Drosophila melanogaster: one gene and its partners. The protein of the gene in region 2 binds, or shares a complex with, the protein of the main gene of each other region. Each region holds a gene or a part of one and is shown on either strand. Other genes may lie near its edges.

Region 1 (7,983 bases), on a different chromosome or scaffold from region 2:
GATTTCGGTTTGATCGACTTAACAGAATCGGGAATAATCTCTGAGATTTTGTACCAAATTCGCCATCGTGTTGTAAAATTTTATTTATTTCCTTTGGAGTTTTAAATCATTTTTCTGCCAATAAAGTTAAGAAATTGCCTAATAAGATCCTTAGTTTCTATGCATCATAAAACAAAATCGTGTAACTAATGGCTTTAAACTAACTCACTATGCTAGCTTTAAGAGAAAATCGCATAGAGCAACAGGAATATCTCATGACGGCTGTCTTTCTTCTGTCATTCGCCAGCCAGGCTAGCCAAAAGCTCCTCATCTATCCCATCCGCCGATGGTGTACCCGCCGTGCTGCTAAGATTGAGCAGTCCTTCATTGCCAGACTGCGAAGGAGGCACCGGCGGCTTCGCTTCCGGCTCCGTCAGTCCAGTAGAGCTGGCAATAGGTCCTAATATCGAAGATGATGTTCCCGCTAAAGCCGGTTCTGAACTGCCACTTGGCGTGCTGCGTCCACTGGTTGTATTGCCTCCGCTTCCTCTCTGCGATAACTTTGGGATCTGGAATTTGTTGTGGAGCCCCTTGATGAAGCCTTCCATGCTTGCGGCCATTGTCGGAGAAGCGTATTGGAGGATGGTCATCATATCCGTGTGGTGATCGAATCGCGGCGGTGGCTGCGACATTGAGCCGCTAAGGGCCGGCGATACCGACCCCGAAGATCCGCTGCCTCCTCCCGAAGCGGAGCCTAACTTTCGCTGCCCGCTGCCTCCTCCACTGCTGCCGCTAGCCAAGGCTCCCATGCTGGGACGCCGCCTGGGGGCATTGTGCTCTTGGAAGGAGTTAGTGCTGTTGCTCTTAGTCAGCGGAATTCCGCCACCTGATCCCGACCCACTGAGCTTGCTGCTGAGATTGCCCGAGGAGTTTGCCTTCTGGAAGAAATGCTTGCTGGATGATGCCGTGGCGGACGAGACCGCTGCGGTGGCCTTCTTGGAAGCGGGTCCGCTGTTAACGCCCGGCTTGAGTCCGGTATGCTGCTTCTTCGTGGATCCAGTGGACCCAGCGAAGCTCGTGGCGCCGCTGCTGCTGCTCTTTGCCTTCGCTTGGAGGCCAGAGGAGGAACTAGAGCCGGAGCCGGTGCCGGAGCTCTTGCTGCTTCCCGTCTTGTTGATGGTCAGCTTGAGGCCCTCTTGGCTGCTGGGCTTCACCATGTATTCCGTGGAGGCTCCGGCCGGATTGATGCTCCCGGCGGAGTCGCTGCTGCCCCCGCTGGTGGTTAAGCAGCTACTAGTTGGCGCTGCTCCCGGCTGTGGCTGCTGCTGCAGAATTGTTGCTGTTGCCAGCGTTGCTGCTGCCGCTGCTCCCGCTGTTTCCTGCCCCTGACCCACTACCGCTGAGACTGGAGACACCAATGACGCTGCCGAGCCCGCTGCCACTGTTGTTGTTGGTGCCGGAATTGTTGGCGCTAAAGCTGCCGTCGACGTCATCAAACTAACCTGACAAAGTAAGCATGTGGTTGTGTGTGTGTTAGGGACCAAAGAAACCAAAAATAAACCAGAAAAGAAATTATAACAATCAAAAAGGGGAACATCACGTGTAGCAAAAGAAAAAATTGTGGGATTTCACAACCATTGGTAGTGTAGGAAGGGAATACAAACAGGAAGAAAGAAGAATGGACCCCGTTAATAATTAGCTTTATAGTTAAGTCGGATACGAAATATATTTTTGAGGAGAAAATGTATGAGGCAAACGCTTGTGGAGCTACTTTCAAAGTGTACATCATAAGCACATTAAACACTAATTTTAAACGTAGTAAATATTTAAGTGAGAAGGAACTCTTGTAACTAAATCTAGAAAAGGGGAAACAATCAAATTATAATACTCGTAGAGTCAAGATGCCAAGCACTACTAATTTACACATTATTTACTGATGTTCTTAACAAAGCTTAAAAGTCATATGCATACACATTCTTATAAATCCAGCAATACTGTAGACACTATAAACTTGGTGAACCAGTACGCCATGGTTTTCTACATGCCACATGCTGGCCAAACAACTATACAAATCAAACAGATTAACTAATAATAAAAACATACGTTCTCAATGCAGAAAAAGAGGTTTAAGCTGGTGTTTTGGGGATAAGCCCCATTACCATACGAGTTTTGGGTTTGGTCGAAAATAAAACGGATGCAGCAGTATATATGACAAATAATTGAATCATATGTATTTACAAAAATTAGAAAAGGCAAAACGAAACACTAACAAAAATAATAATCATAGTACTAAATATAATCATTTTCAACTACAGCAGAGGTAGGCAAATTACAAATCGTTTTATAGCTAAAGTAAATACAGCATTTGCATTAGTTTAAAGATAGGTTCGCTCTGAGTTTGATTCTGCATTGGTTAGGAGAGGTGGCAGAGAGTCAACTACGTGTTAGGCTTCCAGTGGGAGATGCTGGGGGTGGGTTGGTGTGGTGTGGAGTGGAGCACTTATAATGAAAACGGACTTACCGCACCTCCCGCCATGCCCTTGCGCAGGGCACTCAGCTCCAGTCCGGAGGCCCCCGCTCCAGCGCCAGCTCCTGCTCCCACCACCACTGCGGCTGCACCAGATGCTCCCGCTCCCGACGGGGCCGCATAGCTACCCAGTCCCCCGCCCGCCGCCAGATGCGAAAGACTGGCGACTGACTTCATCTGCTGTTGTGAGGATTTCAGGGCAGCTACTGCAGCAGCCACACTTGCCGGTGAAATACCTCCGCCAGATGCGACACCTGCAGTTGCCGAGGATGATGTGGAACTGGAACCGGATGCCGAAGAGGTTTTCTCCTTCTTTAAACTCTGGCTGCTGCTGATAGATCCGCTCGAGCTCGCTAATGGAGGAATTGGAGGTGGTGGAGGCGGAGCTCCAACGCTGGCAAATGACCTCACCAGGCCAGTAGCTCCGCTGGATCCTGAGGAGGCGGATGGTCCCGAAGATGTGTTACCCACAGCTGACGAGGACTTATCGCCCTTGGGACTTAAGATGGTGGCAGCTGTAGCTGCACTTTTAAGCGTTGACATGCTCGGCTTTCCGGAAGAGCCGTGTTTGGGTGAGTGTGTGCCAAACGGCGACTTCGGGCTGTTGGAGGCGGTGTTGTGCTTGGGACTGCTATACACGGGAGAGTGCTTGGGGCTGGGACGGGCAGTCGGCACTCCGGCCATTAGACCCTGTCCACCGCCACCAGCTTTGGGTGACGACGAGGGAGAGGAAAACTTGCGAACCACTCCACCAGTTGCGGAAGCATCTGCGCCACCTGCAGGCGAGTTTTGCCTAGAATAGATCTTCTCCGGCGGTCCCATGGGCGAATCGTCGCGCTTTTTCTTGCGCTTCTTTTCCTTCTGCGTATCTGAAGAGCCGCTGCTGGCTGAAGACGACATGGAGCTGCCAGAACCACTACAACCGGACGTAGACGAACTACTTGTGCTACTTTCGTGGGGACGCTTTGCGGCCACACCTACTCCAGCTGAAGCAGCGGTACTTTTTTTGGTTGAGTCCTTACTGGGATCCTTGCCAGTTATTGGGGTAATAGTTATAGTCGTGGGAGTGGCACTGGATGAGGCTGTAACACCTCCTCCGGCTATAGCCGCCTGGGCATTCAATGGAATAATTTCGATACCACCCGTTCGCTGTACCTCGACCCCGGACACTCCCCCAGCTGATCCAGACTTTCCATCTCCTGGGATGGGGGTGATGCTGACGCAATGCTTCAAATTTGGAGTCTTGTCCTTCCAGATATTTTTGTACTTGTCAGCAATGTCATGGTCACTCGTCTTGGCGGAGCCGGATGAGCTGGAGCTGCCGCTGACCGTGGTGCCACTGGCCGAACTACCAGACTGTGGATCGGTTTCCCGCTTAAGATTGATCAAACCCGCTATGGCCGCTGCTGCCGAAGTAGAAGCGGCAAAAGCATCCGCTAGAGATCGCGACTTCGCATCCATTTTAAGGTTGTTAATGTTGGCGAAGCCACCTCCGGGTAGGCTTCCATCGGAAGGCGTCGGCGTATCCATTGAAAACTGGCTAAAGTTATTGCCTACTCCTGAGACAGGTCCACCACCACTCATGCCTCCACCTCCGATTGCTCCAGAACCAGATCCAGGTCCAATCGCGCCATGCAGTTTGAATTCGTGCTCCTCATCCCAGCACTTAAGCAACTTGTAGATTACCATCGGAATGGATACCACTTTGCGCGCGGTGCGGGTTAACTTCTGGGACAGCAGCTCGTATTCGTTGGTCAGACAGTAAACGCTGCACGTGGGCTGACCATCCTCAAGCAGAAAATCCACAGTGGCCAGCGACTCTTCGTACGGGTGCTGCAGCTCAACCGTGATTTGATTAAATGAAACGGCGGTTACCTCCAGTATCACAGTGCTGTCCATATCTGGGACGAATGAGCATAAAAAAAATATTATTATCATAAAACAGGAATGTGGGGGGAAGTGGAGCACCCAACTCACCATTATACTGCTTCTGCTGCTCACGAACACAGCTTGCGAGCAGGGTGTAGAAGAGAGCTTGTTTCTTGAGGAACGCCACGATTCGCGGAACCTGGGCGGGTTCAGTGAAGGGCAGTGATGACACCAGAGTTCCCTGCAGTTTGCGGTTGTCGGTAAAGAAATAGCAGTGCGTCTCTTTAGGTAAATTCACATACAGGCCGCGCTGTGTGTTCTTAATGGCCTGCTTCGATGCAGTTTGTACTATGAGATTAAGCACTGTGGTGGGCGGACCAGGAGGAGTGGCAACTGAGTCTAGACCGGGCAGACCGAGAGCCTTTAGTGATTCCAGGCAAACAGGCATGGGTTTGTTCAGCCGAAGCACAAACGTGGCCGGCATCAGCAGCGAGTTGTTCTGGTTAAGTTGGGCATAGGTGGGAACCTCCAACCCCGTTTGGGCATCGCGGACCAAAGTCACCGTTGGCAAAGTCTGCAGTTTGTTGGCTGATGAGCCTTCGAGATTGATAGTGGCACTCAGTCCGTAGCTGCTTCGCATTACCTGGTCGATGGTGAAATCGCCGCTGGCCAGTTTGGGATCCCCTTCGGGAAGGTGGAGCGGCGGGCAGAAATAAGTAAGCCTCATAGGATGGCCACCGCGACGGGGCAGCACAAGACCCACCGATGAACTTGTCATAAGTGAGTAGCTGTCTCCGGAGTGACCTTGCAGGTGCAGTTGGTATAGGCTCTGGATATCCGTCTCCATGGCCTGAAGCGCTACAAACGCCTTCTTTTTCACCTTGGGCTCGGCATTCAGCTGGTAAATGGAGGACAGACCCTCGAGTTGAACCGTAAAGTCTGCAAAGTCGCCAGACTTGAGGCAGGCCACTAGCTCGCTGGACTGTTGCTCGATCTTGCACTCGTGGTGCACCTTGACGTCCGACAGACTGCCGGCGGCGTCCAGCAGGATCTCTACGTAGAACATGTCCGTTGATATGAAGAGAAGCTGCTGGTCCTCCATGAACTTGAGGCCCAACTGGCGCGAGAGGCTCTCCAAACGCTCCACAAGGCCGTGGCGTGACGTGACCTTGATGTAGTGCTGCAACTTGTCCAGCGCCGACTGCAGCGTGGCCTTGCACAGGGGGTCCAGAGGGTAGTGCTTCTCGATAAAGTACATACGCACCGACTTCTTGATCTCCTCGTAGCTCTTTGGCTTGTTCCGGTACTTGGCCCGCAGCTTCTCCATCATGGTTTCCTGCTGGATCTGCTTGTTCTTTTCCTCGATGCTGGGAATGTGGCTGCCGAAGCCTGTGCAGATTTGTGTCAGTGGTGCTCCGGACATCTTAGTTATGGGGGTATATATTAGTACTTACCAGTCCCCGAGGACTTTGCATTGGATCCGCTCATATCTATGCGTTCCTAAGTAAACTGTATTTACTTAATGATGCTGTGGCATTTTTGACAAAGAATTGCGGCAAATGAAAAAGTTCTCGATCTAAATAGCTCAGAACCTTTTTTCTATGCCTTCATCATGGCAAAAAAATTTCAACGCCAAAACAACAAAATGGCTGATCCTTCACAGTGGCTGGTCACGCTATAATAAAATACTGGAATATAAAACGGAACTATGATATTTCCACTGCGTCATTTGATATTCGATGTATTCTGATTCAAAGCTTGTATCAATTGCCTGTTCAATTATGTATGTTATATTTTTTAGTATGAGGGGTAAATATAATGAAGCAATTAACATCTATATTCTATACATCCTTCTGGTACTTTTACATTCTATTTTTTATGATGTAATTGTGCCTCATTTCCTACTCGAATTTTCTCTTAAGCTACAAGGGTATTGTAATGAACAGAAAAGCTCAAACATTCTTTCGTTAAAAAATAAATTACAGGCCTCATAATTTAATACCGATGATTTAATATTTATTTAAAATTTCCAATGATTTCTAAATGTCTTATTGGCATAAAGTTTAATTTGGGGTTTCTGTTCCAAGAAACCGAAAATGATTATTTAAAGTTTCTTGAGATTTGAAAGAAACTATAATCCTATAAAAATAAATATCAGCTAAAAAAAACTTTAAGGACTAATCAAATAAGTAAACAAATACAGCTTACGACTTAAACAAATTTTATTTCGCTAAATTCATGATAAGTCTTAAGCGTTCCTCTCTTCCTCGTACTTACCTAAACTACGACAGATATACGGATTATATTGAATATAGGTTTGGTCCGACAAATCAAAAGTAGTCATAACCTTTACTAAAGGTAGATGTTATATTTCATAGAAAATTGCAAAAGCTTAAATTCAAATTTTATTAAACATTTAAAGTATTTCAAATTTCTGTTTTCTCTAAATTATTTTGGTATATTTATTATCATCAAAGTGCAGAGCGATATTTGTATGCATGCGCGGTCACATTGAGCGTAAATGATAAATATTTGTTATTAAAGTGTTTCGGAACCAAAGGTTAACAATTCAGCCACATGACGTCCATTGCGGGAGGCCACGGCGAGGCGAATCCAAACAGCTCCTGGCTGAGTGCCCGGGGATTTTGGCTAGCATACCTCCTGGGCCTGCTGTCGGTGCACCTGCTCTTCTTATCAGTGCCCTTCGTTAGCATTCCATGGGCCTGGACGGCTACCAACCTGCTTCACAATGCAGTGAGTGCTCATGGCGCCGTTGAGGAGTCAGTCCTTATCCTAATCCCTCTTGCCAGGCCCACCTGTACTTTCTGCACGTCATCAAGGGCGCTCCCTGGCTGAGCACGGAGAACGATCCCAGCCGGCGTTGGACGCACTGGGAACAGATCGATGACGGGGTACAGATGACCACAACGCGCAAGTTCCTCACAGCTGTTCCCATTGTTCTGTAAGTGAATACGTACTGAAAGTCGGCCAATATAGGTGGGTTTTTATTTAAAAAAATTAAAACTAAATGAAGACTTAAATTCTAAACTTGTTTTAATGTTGATCAAAGTATTTCAATAAATACTTTTTATGTACTGCAGTTTAATTGAACTAGTAATGTAATTGCTACCATATAATGCCTAACATAGAAACTCATGAAATAATTGATTTTTTTATAGTTTCCTACTTACCTGTCTGTACACCCGAAACAACACGGAACACTTTATCCCAAACTTTATATCCCTGGTGGTCGTCACGCTTCCCAAGCTGCCGCAGTTCCACGGCGTGCGGCTGTTCAACATTAACAAGTACTAGCTCCTGTGAGAACGGGCCGCATTTATTTTGTTTAATGAAAATGTACATACAAACTTATATTGATGGCACAGCTCTTGCTCAAAAATGTAAATATTGCTAAATAAAATATTTATCAAATTAAATAATTCTAAAAATCGCGTTTCGATTTTTATTGCATAAATAATTATTGATCATGGAAACTACAAATCATCTAAAAGATGTATTTGGGGGCCAGCACATGAGATATTTTATAACCCATTATGTCAGACGATTAAGTAGAACCATGATGTAGTTCTTTAGCCCAAAGGATTAAA
Region 2 (3,259 bases):
ATTTTAGAAATCATTAGCGAATGTATCTTGACAAAAGTTTGCAAGCATATCGAATGGAAATTTATCTAATTTGTATTATCTAACTCTTGAATACATTTTTAAACGAAATGAAGTGAAAATCGTTGAAGAAACCGTCCAATTAATTTATGCAAATAATGAATCTGCATAGTTTGTAAGTTTTATACGTATATACGCCTTCATATGAACCACAATTAGTTTATAAATTCCCAACACAAATCTCACATAGCCATGTACATGAAGCTACTAAGCGAGAAACAAGGAAATTTTTGTACACAACTTAAGAATGTCGCTCCTTTCCGTACCATAAGAATCGAATCGAATCTCTATGAAGTGTCTTGTGTTTTCTTTTGTAATAAACGAAACCTGAAAATAAATAAAAGTAATGTTTATCCAAATGTGTTTTCTTTTCATGGAATGTGTTGGTACACTTCAGAATTTGTGGATTTGAATATTTTTCCCAAATTCCAGGAATGGGTACAAAAATGTATAAAAATTCAAATTACTTACAAATTTATTATTAATTCAAAGAATAGAATGAAATGGATTACAAGACATTAATATATAAAAATTTATTTAAAATAACAACAGTTTTTTTTAAATAAAAATTAATTTGCTTAGTAAGGCCAAAATAAAATCTTACAATTTCTATGAATTTACCCATGGAAATTATTAATTAAGTTGTTTCATTTCACATTTTATACTAAAAAAGTTAAGGTAAATATATTAAAAATATTGTAGTTATGGAATATAACTAAGCTAAACAAAAACATTTGGATGTGTAGAAACAACTACGTCTTGCGAAAACTTAGTAAAATAGGTGATATCGCCTCCAGGCAGTCCATAATGTCCTTGCGCGACTTGGCGCCCGTAAATACAACCTTTCCGTTGACGAAGATCAGGAGAACGATGCGCGGCTTGACCATGCGATAGATTAGGCCTGGAAACATCTCCGGTTCGTAGGAACTAAACTGCCCGTGCACGTGGTTGAGGTTCTCCAGGCGGATGGGGAAGCGCAGATCAACGGTGGCCACAATATTCTGCAGCTTGTATTCCATGAACTTTACGGGGAATCCCAGCTTCTGCAGGATGCGTGCGAACTTTCGCGATCCAATGTCCGCCTCAATCTCGTTTCGTGCACCCGTGCAGATGACCTTGCCCGTTCGAAAGATTAGCGCTGTGCACCTGGGCGAGTGCATTCGCATGATGACGCCACGAAAGCGCTTGGGCGAGTACTCCGAGTTCCTCGTACGCGAGTTGATTGCCTTGAGGTCCAGTTCACAGTTCACCGAGAAGGTGGCCACGATATTCCTGCAAGTTATGGATGTATCAATGGGTTTCTATTTATTTCATGAAGTGCCTCTGAAAAGTGGTCAACCAACTGCAATCGTATCTCATGTTGTGCATCCTTGGGCTCCACCAGGGCAACGGGCTGTTGCGGCTGCAGGGCTGCGTGCGGATTGGCGGCAGCATTGCTGGTCGCAGCCACATTATCCCTGTCCCTTTCAGCGTCCGCGACTTTAAAGTGAAACTGCATTGCCGAAAATTATAAACAAATCCGCACGCGACGTGGCCAGTGTTGTCCTATTTTATTGCTGACGAAAATTGTATGCCGGTTTGGTATTTTTATTTGTCTAACTTTTCTCATGACTAAAAAGTCAGCACTGGTCACACTGGACGCTTTTAGCTTGCAAGACTTGTAAACAAAATTAATAAAACTAAAAAGCTGACATTATTGCATAAACTATGGGAGTAACTATCCTTCAACCGTATCCCTTACCCGAAGGCAAATCGGGTGCCCACATAATCGATCAGCTGAGCAAGCGTCTGCTCGCCCTGGGCGCCACACATGCCGGTCAATTTCTGGTGGACTGCGAAACGTTCATCTCGACGCCACAGCCGCACAATGGAGCACCTGGACGCGCAGTCCACGTCCTGCACAACTCCGAGTATCCCGCCTCCACGTTCTCGATCATCGACAATGGCACCGGCAAACAAGTGGCCATTGTCGCCGACAATATCTTCGATCTGCTCATGCTCAAGATGACCAACACCTTCACCTCCAAAAAGCAGACCAAAATCGAGTCCCGTGGCGCTCGTTTCGAGTATGGTGACTTTGTTATCAAACTCGGTTCCGTCACCATGATGGAGCACTTCAAGGGCATCCTCATCGAAATCGAGTACAAGTCATGCGTGATTCTGGCCTACTGCTGGGAAATGATACGCGAAATGCTGCAGGGATTCCTCGGCATTGCTGTGAATAAGGACTTTCCCTCCTATTTCGCTCCACAGACAATAATGACGGCAATGGGGCAACAGCAGCTGCATGCCAAGCACAACGACATCTTTGAGCCAATGGACACCGTGAAACAATACCTGGAGCAGTTCACCAACTATAGGAAGCATGTGACTCTTATGGGCGGTATGGGCAGTGGACCGGGTAGCCAACAGGTTGGTCCGAACGTGCATATGTCGCCGGCGGTGGCGGGACTACATCGATCCTGATCCGCCGACGTCAAGCTGGAGCCACCGGATGAGCCTGCAGCCGATTAAGATGTTTAGAAGATAATTTAAACAAAAAAAATATACATATGTCACTAATATTTAATAATTAAATAATCATTATTTTAAAGCTAGCATCACTAGTTTGCTTTACATATTTTAGACGAATAAACAAAACATTTATTAGCTTGTCCAAATACGTTTAAAATATTATAGTTATATATATATATATATATATATTTTGTGCAGTGTACAGTTTTTTTCATATATTGGTTATTCACTACTTTTTTATGTATTTTTAAAACAGCTGATTGGAATAATGATTAAAGCTGTGTGGTATCCCTGCTCGCACGGCATTTTACCGTTAATGAAATCTGGCCACACAGTAGGCCGAGTACTCAGTACTATCGGGCAAATTGACGAGATTATTTAAACAATAATGTCGGCCCACAGCGGCGGAACGGATTGGAATTCCGTTGTTAAAGCCCTGATACTTAACCGTACAGGAGCCTTAAACAAGAACGAAGTTGTTAATTTGCTCAAAGCTATCACGCGATGGTAAGTACAAACGATCATCTAGAACTTTTCGCCTACCGAATGGCGTAGTGAAAAATTTTCTGCTAGTGCAAAAAGTGACTTGCAAAATTAAATATGGCCGCTCCGGTGACGAAATAGCAAAAAGCTTTGAAAATTCTTTAATATCGAGAACTAACAACGCTCTATTCCGATATTTGCATAG
Region 3 (3,369 bases), on a different chromosome or scaffold from region 2:
GAAGAAACAGCTTAAGTTTGCAAAATCTGCGATACATGATTGGGGATTATTTGCAATGGAGCCCATAGCTGCAGACGAAATGGTTATTGAATATGTTGGTCAGATGATTCGACCTGTAGTTGCTGATCTAAGAGAAACAAAGTATGAAGCAATTGGGATTGGGAGTTCCTATTTGTTTCGAATTGACATGGAAACTATAATTGACGCAACTAAATGTGGAAACTTAGCTCGGTTTATAAATCACAGTTGCAATGTAAGTAAGCTGGATGTTCTGACATTATGTTACCAACATAAAATTTTGTTTTTCAGCCGAATTGCTACGCTAAGGTTATAACTATTGAATCTGAAAAGAAGATAGTAATATATTCAAAGCAACCCATTGGTATCAACGAGGAAATAACTTACGACTATAAATTTCCACTAGAAGACGAAAAAATACCTTGTCTATGCGGCGCCCAAGGATGTCGGGGTACACTTAACTAATACTTATTTACAACAATGAATTAAATATTTTAGAGCACATAAATTTAATTTGTTCATAAAATCCAAAGTGGGGTACGTGTAAGTATATATAGTTTTTTTTATAACTTAAAACTATAATTAATTATTATAAAAATTATATCAACGAGGTCAGAGGTGCTGTTCAAAATGGTTTAGGTCTAAATTAAGCTAAAATACTTTACTTATAAAAACAATATGTATATACTAAAACCCATTTGATCTGTAAACACGAACGAAAATGCAATAAATACATTATCTTAAATTTAAAAATAATTTGCCTTTATACAAAAATGTGTTAAGCAGCTATTGTAAATCATGTTTGAGTGTTATTTGCATATCTAATTGAGCCTGAGCAATGCATTCCAAAGAATACTGCATTTTTTCTAGCAAAAGTTCGCCTTTTTGCACTACTTCCTCTAGGTCTCTTGCAGTTCCCTGGTTTTCGATCTCGAGCCTCTTAAGGCTAGAATTTTGGAGTTCAATGGAGCTGTCTTCATTTGGAAGAGACTCGATTAAGGTGTCGATGTCTTTAGCACATCGTGCAATTAACTGTGCAAATAATTGGGCATAGTCTTCTTGCGGCGGACATGGGATTGGCGTTTGGGGTCCAATGCGTTCAAAATTAACAAATTTACTTGGAAGGGACGTTTGTTGAATTACACCAATAGCATTGCAGAAGTGCTCCGCTTGCTGCAATGATTATTTTACATAAAAAACTGGTTATTTCTTAATACGAAGTCACTTACCTGATTAACGGTGTCTTGCAATTGTGTAAGCCGATCCGCCATTTTACTACAGAGTTAATAATTCTGAAAAACAAAAAATTATATGGAATTAAGTTTGATTAGCCAGTTCAAATTTTGATTAACATTTTTAATATCAACATAACATAATCAACATAATATCAACATACAATGACCGTTGGTGATTTTTATAATATATAAGCATTTATTTATCGATTGATTTTATGTCTTATTTACAGATACCTCACAGCAGCGACTATTCTCTTAAAAAAAGAAATGCTATTAATATGAGTTCCACACTAAAACGTGATTTCTTTCAATGAGACGAATTATTCTTGTTCACACTGTGCCATAATAATGTCTTCATTCCAACGATATAAACTACCATAAGATTGTCGGAAACAGTGGAATCTCCATAATATATGACCACACGTTGCACATCGATCCCTCTTGTCTTGTTCAAAATCATCACAATTTCGGTTATAACAAGGAAGCAGTTGGTCTCCAAGTAGTCTGCAACCTCTCTCACACAATCTTGGTATATCCTTGAGGAGGGTATATCGATTTCAGTTATAAGCTTGCAACGAAGTGAAAAAAGCATTTCAGTCCAATTAAGTGGGTATAAATATCAGTAAGAACAGCCGTACCCTTTTTCACGATAATTATTCTTTTAATTTTTAACATATCTAAATCGGTTCACCATATCTTAAAGATGTCATATGAAAAATTTTAAAGCTACCTCTCTTGTTTTTTAAAGGTTTTTAAAAGCAACAAAGATTTTATGATACGAACACTTTGTGCCTCCGATTAGTTTTCTTGTGAGGGGATTTGAATGGGTGGTCAGTTTTACTAGGTATTTTAATTTTCTTCTCAGTTATTATTTCGATAAATAATTTGATTTTTTTCTCTCTGTGTATGTCTTCGTTCCGAAGGTATCACGCTCTAGTCAGAATTCTCAGAATTGTTGGCTGTTCTCGCTGAATGGATGCCCCACAGGTCGGAGCCATAAGTCCAGATTGGTTTTAAGACGGAGTTGTATAGGAGAGCTTTGAACTCCACGCTAAGTGGAGAGCGAGCATGAGCCAGTGAAGGTTCCTTGCATCTTATTGCGACTTCAGTAGCTTATGTATGTTTTGGAACAATAGCTTGGCTAGTTTAAGCAAAAGTCCATCCAGAAACACTGTCAAATGCCTGCGCGACGTCTAGTAAAATGGCTGTGTAATATTCTCGATGCTCAAAAGCAGTACGAATTTCTGACGTGATTCGATTGGCCTGTTCGATGGTTCCATGTTTTTTCCATGACGAGGGCTTATTCCCAGGAGTAGCATTTTTTCAAATAAATTTTAGAGATAAGTTAGTTACTGTATCGGTCTATATGATGATGGCTGCGTTTTATCTTTTCCTGGCATTGGAATCATTACTATGGTAGATTTTTTCCATTTTTGAGGGAAGTATCCATGCTTGGCGATTGCGTTGAACAACAAGCACATGTGCAGAACATCACACTGGGAGTTCAATAAGGATTTTTTGAGTTATTAGGTCGAAGCCAAAATCGCTTCAGTTGCTTTTTGATAACCTTTGCTAATTCACATAATCTAAGTTTGCTTCTGCTAAAGGAGGGAGAATAATGACTTTATAGCAGGATTTGGTAGAAATAAAATTTGTAAGTGGTCAGCAACTGCTCTGGCTCTTTTCTCATCACTGTCTTTTCTCTACAAAAGGTTCTTAGTGCTGGTGGGCATACGTCACTTTGCACCCGAAACTAGAATATTTTCAACAGTGTCCGTTGACTTGTCTATATTTTCCTTAGCAGATAATGCCGGCGTTAGTTCTATGTGTGATCTGGGTCTGGGATTTTTCTTGGGTCTGCTGGTCAGTATGTATTGGATAGCGTGGTGGGCAGTAGACTGCGGCTAGAGTCATTGAACCATTGTTGAGTAGTTAGACTATGGACGTAGATTGAGGTGGTTTTTATGCGATTTCTGATTAGTATGCCAGTGCCTCCAAGAGCTTTACCATCTGAATGATTTGTGAGGTGCGTTTCTGATAGTAGCATTACTCCAGTGTTTTTTTCGGTAATGAACTGTGTGAGTTCTTGTGTATGAAGTGAATAGATATCCGTAGG
Region 4 (7,612 bases), on a different chromosome or scaffold from region 2:
GTGAAAAAGCCATAAAATTCTACCTAGCTATAAAGAATTTCGAAAACTGCAATTCTATGCGAGCTTAATACCTCAGGTAGGGAATCTGAGTTCTAGATACCAATGCAGTTGTTCCGCGTAAATCATTTACACTACCTACTTTATCTGGCTTCATATGTTTGAATTTCCCTGAACTCTGTTGAAATGTAATTAATATGCTCTTTGCAAAAGTAGCCTAGTACATTTCATAAAGGTTTATAAAACAAAAATTGAATCACGTGCAAATTGAACTACAAACTGATTACCCTGCCTCTATTTCAAGTTCTAAATAACGGTTCATTCTGTTGTATTTGTAGACTTTTGATTGCCTCGCAGGATGGGTACTTGTACGTGTATTCCATTCCCACCGTCGAGGGCGCAGAGTGCCAGCTAATAAAGAGGCACGACCTGCGGCTGGAGGACCACTATGCCATGGATATCAAAGGTGCTTAACTGTTCGCTTCTCGCACACACTTCACACTTACACACATCCCAACCAAACCCACAATCGAAACAAATTCTCTAGTTGATTCACCTCAAACTCTAGGCCTTAACAGTGGCGTGAGCATTGGCGGAGCAGCTGGAGTTCCGCCGAGCAGTGCAAGTGCAGCCGGAGCAGGCACTGGTGGAAGTGGCGGTGATGGCAAGTCGGCTGTTTCTGTTACCGGTGGTGTCGACAAACCAAGTAGCTCCTATGCGTCGGCCGTGAAGGGTGACGATCCCGTGGGACCCTCATCCGCTTAGACAAGGTCAATGATCAAAAATGAGAGATGCAGCGATGGTAAACGAAACTCACTCCTCAAAGTAATAAGGACGATGATGCTAAAGTGATTACAATGATGCTTGGCGACTGGCGGCGGCGATAATGATGATGAATAAACGACGGTGGCTCTGTGGCGTCAAGCGTATTTAAGTAAATAAATAGGTCATAGACTTAATTTAGCTCTTAACGTTGTCAGCGATGATTCTTCCTCGTTTTGTACCAGCCAATATTCCTTTGTACGGCCTCTCCCTACCCAAAACATTTTTTAGTTTTAAGCCTCCGTTCCTGGCGCTGCCATTGGAATGTGAAATGCTTTTGTCATACACTCCTAAGTTAGTTGTTAATTAATAATTTAGACGGATTTACAGATTCGCTTTGATATTTGAGTTGCCAGCTTTTTATACAAAATAAACGGCCTTTGCAAATTAGTTTTTAATTTTTTTATTTTTCCAGTCCTCGCGCATCTTCCCTTGACAATCCACCGAACTCGATTTGTATGTAAAGTTCTCGCCTAGCTATTGTTTAATCATATCGAAATATCTCGGATTAAGCACATACACCACACCTATATATATATATTATATATTCAATTTAAAATTTAACATTCAGCTAGCGACACGATGAGTGAAATGAAATTCAAAAAATCGGAGCGTGCAATGGAGGAACAATTTTCGGCATATATAAATAGAATATATTTTGTACAAAGTCAAATATTTTAGAACATAATGTTTAAAATGAAAACAGTTTACAAATGAAACTCATACGCTACTTTATTGTATTCAATAAATTATTTGAATTAAAATTTGTTTGTGGGTGCCTTTTCGGTGTCTTAAAATATATTTTAATATTATTTCCTTTATTTGGCTAAATTCCTCGTTGCAAAAACAAAATTTTCAAAATATTTAAAATTGGCGACAAATTTTAAGATTGTGTGTTTTTCAACACTGTAGGATGGGAAAATTATGGTACTCTTTTGGTATGATTAATAAAAGATACCTCGGTCACACTGAGCGCTGCTAAAAAATATATTAGGTTTAAATAAAATAAATTGCGTGAAATACGAGAAAAGTAAAAGTTATATTACTTCCACGGACGCGAGAGATGAAGGAGAACAACAAGATCCTCCAACTCATCTATGTGGCGTGGCGCGAGCGCTGGACGGACTCCCAGTGGGGCATCAACATAAAAAAGGCAAGGCAACCCAAGCAAATCAACACACCAAACAATCAATGTTCGTGTTTACCAATATATTGTAAACGCAATGAGGCCGGTACATTGAGAATTTTAGTGACTCAAATTGCCCGCCTCCGTGCTCTTAGTCTTGGGCTCGAAAACCGGATCCTCTGCCTGGGACAGTGCCAAAACCAGTTGGCGTTGCTTTACGGAGAGATTCCGGGGTATACGCACCTTCAGCGTGACGATGTGGTTGCCCACGCCCTCCCTGGAGCGCACCCCCTTGCCATTGAGCACCACCTGGGTGTGGGATTGGGTGCCCGGCTCCACACGCAGCTCCACGCTTTCGTACAGACCCCGTATCTGAAAGGATCCGCCCAGAATGGCCTCCGAGATGTTTAGGTGCTTGTCGGTTAGAATGTCATTGCCAACGCGTCGGAAATAGTCGCTAGACGGCACCGACAAGCGGTAGGTGACCTGCTGCTTCGTTTCCGGATTTATAATGTTCACCACATCACCGTCCCGGGATCCGGAAGGCACCGATACCATCACATCCACATTGGACACCACGAAGCCGCGATTCGAACATGTTTCGCAGTCGTTGCGATTTGTGAATCGCTTGCCCTTGCACTGCGTGCATGTGTTCACCGATGAGAAGGTTGGCGTTTTGGTCATGACCTTTCCAGTTCCATTGCATCGCCGACAGGGTTCCTTGCCCACATCCCGATGCGCCATCAATTGTGACTTGCCCTTGCAGGTCTCGCATTTCCGCAAGTAGCGCAGCTCTATCCGCTTCTTGCATCCCACTGTCGCCTCAAGGAAGTCAAGTGGCAGATCGAACTCGTTGCTCTTCAGTTTGTTGATCTCTAGAAGGCGATTCAAGGATCGTGTTCATATCGTGATATAGTGAAAAGTGAAATGGTGTTTGATGTATCTAAAATCCGTCTGCTTACCATCATTTGTCGTCTTATCCGAATCGAACTTCTTGGCCTCCTCGAGGCCCACATTTAGGGGATTGCCCGCCTGTTCAAGAAAAGCGCGCTCATCCTTAATCCCGCCCAGCTGATCGTACTCCAAGCGCTTCGTCTCGTCGGTTAGGATGTTGTAGGCGTTGGACAGCTCCTGGAAGTGCTTCAGCTTTTGTTCCGAGTGCGTCGAGTCGGGATGATAGCGCTTGGCCAGCGCATAGAAAGCCGATCTGATTTGCTGGATGGTGGCGTGCCTGTTGACGCCTAACACTTTGTAGTAGTAGTCCTTGGGCATGCCTCGGCTTTGCGGGTACTTAACAGCCGGAGATGACACCTGTTGAGGCGTGGCTCCCGCTGACGTTCGCTTCGCCTCCCGCTGGCGATCTGGATAGTAGGCTGGTTTCGTGGTCCTGAACTGATATTGACTGATCATCCGCATACAGATCCAGCAGGCAGCGACAGCGGGAGCGCGATCCAACTCCAAACAATGTGACGTCTTCCTGCAGCAATCCGTTGCAGCTCCGCTAATTAAAGTGCTTAATACGTCTCCAGGACTGCGAAATAATTTTAAACGAAACATTTTTTATCGCGTAACGAAATATGCAACTATGTGTGCTAACTATATAAGTGGAAATCCTAACTAGATTTTTAAGTGGTTCTGTTTCTGTTTATTTTATGGGGTTGTGACCCAGATATTGTGTTAAAGTTTGACAGGAAAAGAAAATGTTTCATTATTGTCTTTCCCTTGATTACTATTTCAGGTGCTGCCGAGAGGAGTCAGTGGAGATGTATACAATCTGGCTGACTGTCTGATGCAGCAGGCACTCATTGGTTCCACGGCTAATCCGGTGAGTAGTTGATCTGAGTATTTAGATTGTTTTCTAAATTGTAATCTATGCTTTTCAGTTGGTTCTTAACTACCTGAAGCATTCACTGTGCGCCCATCTCGTTTCTCACGCTGCTGTTATTCGGTGCATTGCCAAATATGACAAATTAGAGCGCGTTTATTGCATTACAGCGCTCCTTGAATTCCTGGCCAGCATCGTGGATGGCGTTACCTGCCGGTAAGTCCTTTTAGTTTTATAAGTCGTTAAAAAGCAGGAGTAAAAATAATTGTTCATTTCTATTTCCAGAATAAAATCTGAGGAAGCGGTTTTACCGAGTTCCGTCGTCCACTTGGTGTACTGGCTGCTTCAAATCTTCGCCAGAACTGTGCAGCACTATGAACTGTATGGTGAGATTAGTGCTGAGCAATCATACATGCTGGACCAGACCTGCGTGGTGATAGATCGGCTTAGCCAGCAGCAGTTCCTGCTGTCTATGCTGTACGTGGGCTGTCACGAAGAGCTCGAAATATGTGGACGGATTCGGGATAAGTACGCTACCATCAAGGGATCGTTGACGAACTCAAACTTTACGCTAAATGCACCACAAGTGGAGCAGCAATTGCAGCAGTTGGCCTTTATAGAAGCCAAGCATCTTGAAATGCAACCACTTAATCCGCCGTCAACACTCGAGAAGATCTCGTGCTGCGTGCAACCCTTACTGGCGGTGGAAGTGCTTCTCAATCCGTGCAAGGACACCAGCTACTACGTGGCTGAGTTGCAGATGCTGCAACGATTAAAGAAATACTCCAATACACGGCTCTTCTACGAAATCATCCGTGCTGGATTCCTCACGCTGAGCAATGTTGCGGATACAAGTCCTGACACTATGTGGGGTGCCTTTATGTTCTTTAAAATGCCGCACATCATTAAGCAATTGCACGCCCTGCAACGGATTCCCGGGGAGCAACCACCACCGGCCGATTACATACCCGAGTTGGTGGAGGCTTTGGAATTGCTCATCGAGGACAATCTGCTGCTAGACTTCATGGATACTAAGTGCTCATGCAATATGATCGAGTTCCTTTTGAATGACTGGACCAAGCAACAACTAGTCAATGATGTCCACGTAAAGAAGTTCGCCAGTCAAAGGTTAGTCGAGAAATCATGCATTTTGTACACCCATCTTAATTATATAATTTAAAACGAACTCTTTCAGGGAAGCCGCCTCTCAATTACTCAAAAAATGCGACAATGGCCAACAGACACCCTCCAATATAAACTTCATCAAGCGCGCAGAGGTTCCGCTTTCCGGAGTACTAAAAACGCTGTGCACCAACAAGGTCCAGGACATGGTTAATGTCCTTTGCCAAGTGCCGGTGGGCAACAGCTTCGAGTTGATTCTTTCAGTGGCTACCGTCGAGGGACGCCTCAAGACATTCGTATCGCGTCTGATCCAGTGCAATGAGAACTCCAAGCCGGTGCCGGGCGACCTGGGCAAGCTATGCGTCATCCGGTCCACTCTGTTTGATGTTTCCTTCCTAATGTTGACAAGCATTGTGCAGACCTATGGATCCGATGTTCGTAAACCCGCCTGTTATTACGCTGCAATTTTAATGAATTCTATTTTACTTCAGGTGGTCTTATCTGAGCGTGGTGACTCATTTTTTGAAAAATGGGTGCGTGAGTGCATGGTGGAAAGGAATAAGCTTAAGAATCCGCGTCAAATTCTTGCCCTCTGTGATGACAGTATTGTCGACGAGCTTTTGCTTAGCTTCAGTAAACCAGAGGCATCACAACTTAAGCCAAACAACTTAAGTTGGCAGGAGACTTGCCTTAATCTGCCCGGAGTGCTTCATCATGTGCTAATAGCTTGGGAGCAGGAAACGCTATCCTCGGCGGACGTTAAAAGTATTCTGGACAATATTAAGAGAAGACTTTTCAGTTTTTCCGTTTGCGCCACTAGTTTTCTATGCGCCTACATGTATTCGGTGAAGGAAACGGAACTTCTGAAACCACTAAACATGATTCAGCAGTTCCTGGCTCCGTTGACCAGCGAAGAGCTTTCCAGCCAGGAAAATGCCAAGGAGCGACTAGCTCTCTCCTATCAGATTATCAGAAAAATGCAACACGATGTGCATCCTGCCCCAAGTACCAAGTCCCGCCTCATTTCACATTCCCCGCTAGTCGAGCAGTTTCGGGAGGTGTGGCGAACAGTAGTCGATGCTGGTCACCTGCCCGTTCGCGCCGCTCAGTCGTTGGAGTCGCTTCTGCTAGCCGGTGGCGCGGCGTGGCTGTCCACGCAGTTGGTGGAGCAACTGCTGGCCTGCAAGTACACAAGGGATATGTCGCGAACCATGGACGTTGTGTTTGCCGTAATGCATCTCGACATTGAGAAGACCACTGAGGCGTTGCTCCAGTACGTGGTGGCTCCACTGATACTGCGACGACAAGGGTAAATACCAATATTTTCTTCTGTATATTATTTCATTTATTTATTATCTACAAATCGAATCGATTTAGCAAGAAAGGATGTAAAAATTGAAACTGCTATGATAGAACTCGTACTCACAATTTGGCAATCTTTTTTTTTTCTAGTGAGGACATTAATGAGCCCCAATCCCTGGTACTGGCCCGCCTCTGTGTTTACTGTATTATTTCCTGCCTGGAGAGCCGCAAAGGAAATGGCACTTCCGCTTTGACGGCCATGAAGAAGCGATCGAGATCTCACGATGACGAGGAACTGGCGGCCAATGCAGCCAAAGTGCGCAAGGTGATTGGCGATGGCAGCGACAACTCAAGCGACTTTACGGACACTACGACCGGAGCTGGCCTGGCAGCATTATTGGGCTCCACTTCCACATCTGAACTGCGGACTACGCCGCTTACTCTAAGAGAACCACTGCAGACGAGCGTGCAGCACATTTTCGCAGTGTTCCTGCAGTTTGTCAGTGGAGATGAACTGTCGCCCAAGGCCGTTTTTGTTTATCAGTTCATTTCGCTGCTGGTGGAATGCGGTGGTGAGAGGGTCGCTCCCGTCCTGCGCTTGCTGCCCAACGGCCTGGTGCAACAGCTCCTGAAAGTTTTGGTCACCGACGACATAAAAGTGGGTCTCATCAGCAGACTATACGATCTGCGAATCCAGGCAGGAAGACTGTCCGCTGTGTCTGATCTTTGCCTGTGGCGAAATATGCAGATGGCCAGGCACAGCATTCATCTGTGAGGGATTTGGATGATTGCCACATTGGGTATGCCGATTATGATTAAGAGACGGGTGGGCGAAATTGCTAAATGAATTGTATTAAAAACTAGAAATTGGTGACTTGACTCGGCTTCTTCTTTGCACGCAGTGGATTTTGTTTTCGTTTATTACAATAATTTGTTGTCGCCGATGTTCGTCTGTGTTTTGCTTCATCTTCTTCAGTTAGCGGGTGTAGGGGGAGGTGTATGGACAGGCTTAAAGTAAGAGACCTTGCGATTCCCTATATCACTTGAGCAGACAGCACTCGAAGTAGGTCTCGCCCACACAGCCACCACGCATCGCCTTCTTTACATTGTTCTCGAACTGACGGCGGTTGGTCTGCAGGACGTCGGCCGCCTCCTTGTTGAGCGGATCCTCGGGATTGGGTTCCTGGAAGCAGTTAATTTGGATTAGTAATACTGTTGGCTTGGGTAATAACAAAAATAGAAATAATGATCGTTAAGTGGTATAAACAAACATTTATATTGAATTGTTTCAGTGGGCGTTCAATTAAGCACACTTAGAAATCAATTGTTCACAAAACAAGACATAAAAAATCAATTGTAACTTGAAAACTGTGGCTGTTGATCAAGACTTATGGAACAAAGCGTATAGCCTCTAAAAT

The links.
Region 1: MED20 (region 2) and MED1 share a complex: the UniProt entries of both Drosophila melanogaster proteins name them as parts of the mediator complex.
Region 3: MED20 (region 2) and MED21 share a complex: the UniProt entries of both Drosophila melanogaster proteins name them as parts of the mediator complex.
Region 4: MED20 (region 2) and MED24 share a complex: the UniProt entries of both Drosophila melanogaster proteins name them as parts of the mediator complex.

Annotation. Positions count from the first base shown.
Region 1 is NT_037436.4:21,628,433-21,636,415, forward strand, and holds the start of MED1 (mediator complex subunit 1), read right to left. Parts: upstream 6,015-7,983; 5' UTR 5,864-6,014; coding exon 5,830-5,863; intron 5,765-5,829; coding exon 4,484-5,764; intron 4,408-4,483; coding exon 2,501-4,407; coding exon of another isoform or gene 2,480-2,500; exon of another isoform or gene 1,689-2,479; intron 1,482-1,688; coding exon 276-1,481; 3' UTR 1-275. Other genes in the region: ORMDL (orosomucoid 1-like), read left to right, coding at 6,953-7,129, 7,186-7,337, 7,555-7,690. UniProt on the Drosophila melanogaster protein: Component of the Mediator complex, a coactivator involved in the regulated transcription of nearly all RNA polymerase II-dependent genes.
Region 2 is NT_033779.5:8,071,267-8,074,525, reverse strand, and holds MED20 (mediator complex subunit 20), read left to right. Parts: upstream 1-1,677; 5' UTR 1,678-1,764; coding exon 1,765-2,523; coding exon of another isoform or gene 2,524-2,571; 3' UTR 2,572-2,714; downstream 2,715-3,259. Other genes in the region: Trf (TBP-related factor), read right to left, coding at 810-1,329, 1,401-1,555; poe (purity of essence), read left to right, coding at 2,960-3,078. UniProt on the Drosophila melanogaster protein: Component of the Mediator complex, a coactivator involved in the regulated transcription of nearly all RNA polymerase II-dependent genes.
Region 3 is NT_037436.4:25,114,415-25,117,783, forward strand, and holds MED21 (mediator complex subunit 21), read right to left. Parts: upstream 1,533-3,369; 5' UTR 1,415-1,532; exon of another isoform or gene 1,311-1,414; 5' UTR 1,290-1,310; coding exon 1,248-1,289; intron 1,192-1,247; coding exon 805-1,191; 3' UTR 510-804; downstream 1-509. Other genes in the region: Set1 (SET domain containing 1), read left to right, coding at 1-253, 310-483. UniProt on the Drosophila melanogaster protein: Component of the Mediator complex, a coactivator involved in the regulated transcription of nearly all RNA polymerase II-dependent genes.
Region 4 is NT_037436.4:8,189,507-8,197,118, forward strand, and holds MED24 (mediator complex subunit 24), read left to right. Parts: upstream 1-1,763; 5' UTR 1,764-1,882; coding exon 1,883-1,972; intron 1,973-2,015; exon of another isoform or gene 2,016-2,065; coding exon of another isoform or gene 2,066-2,820; intron 2,821-2,907; coding exon of another isoform or gene 2,908-3,502; exon of another isoform or gene 3,503-3,610; intron 3,611-3,683; coding exon 3,684-3,770; intron 3,771-3,828; coding exon 3,829-3,986; intron 3,987-4,055; coding exon 4,056-4,898; intron 4,899-4,965; coding exon 4,966-5,326; intron 5,327-5,383; coding exon 5,384-6,201; intron 6,202-6,340; exon of another isoform or gene 6,341-6,344; coding exon 6,345-6,969; 3' UTR 6,970-7,067; downstream 7,068-7,612. Other genes in the region: Atg18a (Autophagy-related 18a), read left to right, coding at 336-463, 545-762; CG7387 (uncharacterized protein), read right to left, coding at 2,066-2,820, 2,908-3,502; NEDD8-conjugating enzyme UbcE2M, read right to left, coding at 7,234-7,377. UniProt on the Drosophila melanogaster protein: Component of the Mediator complex, a coactivator involved in the regulated transcription of nearly all RNA polymerase II-dependent genes.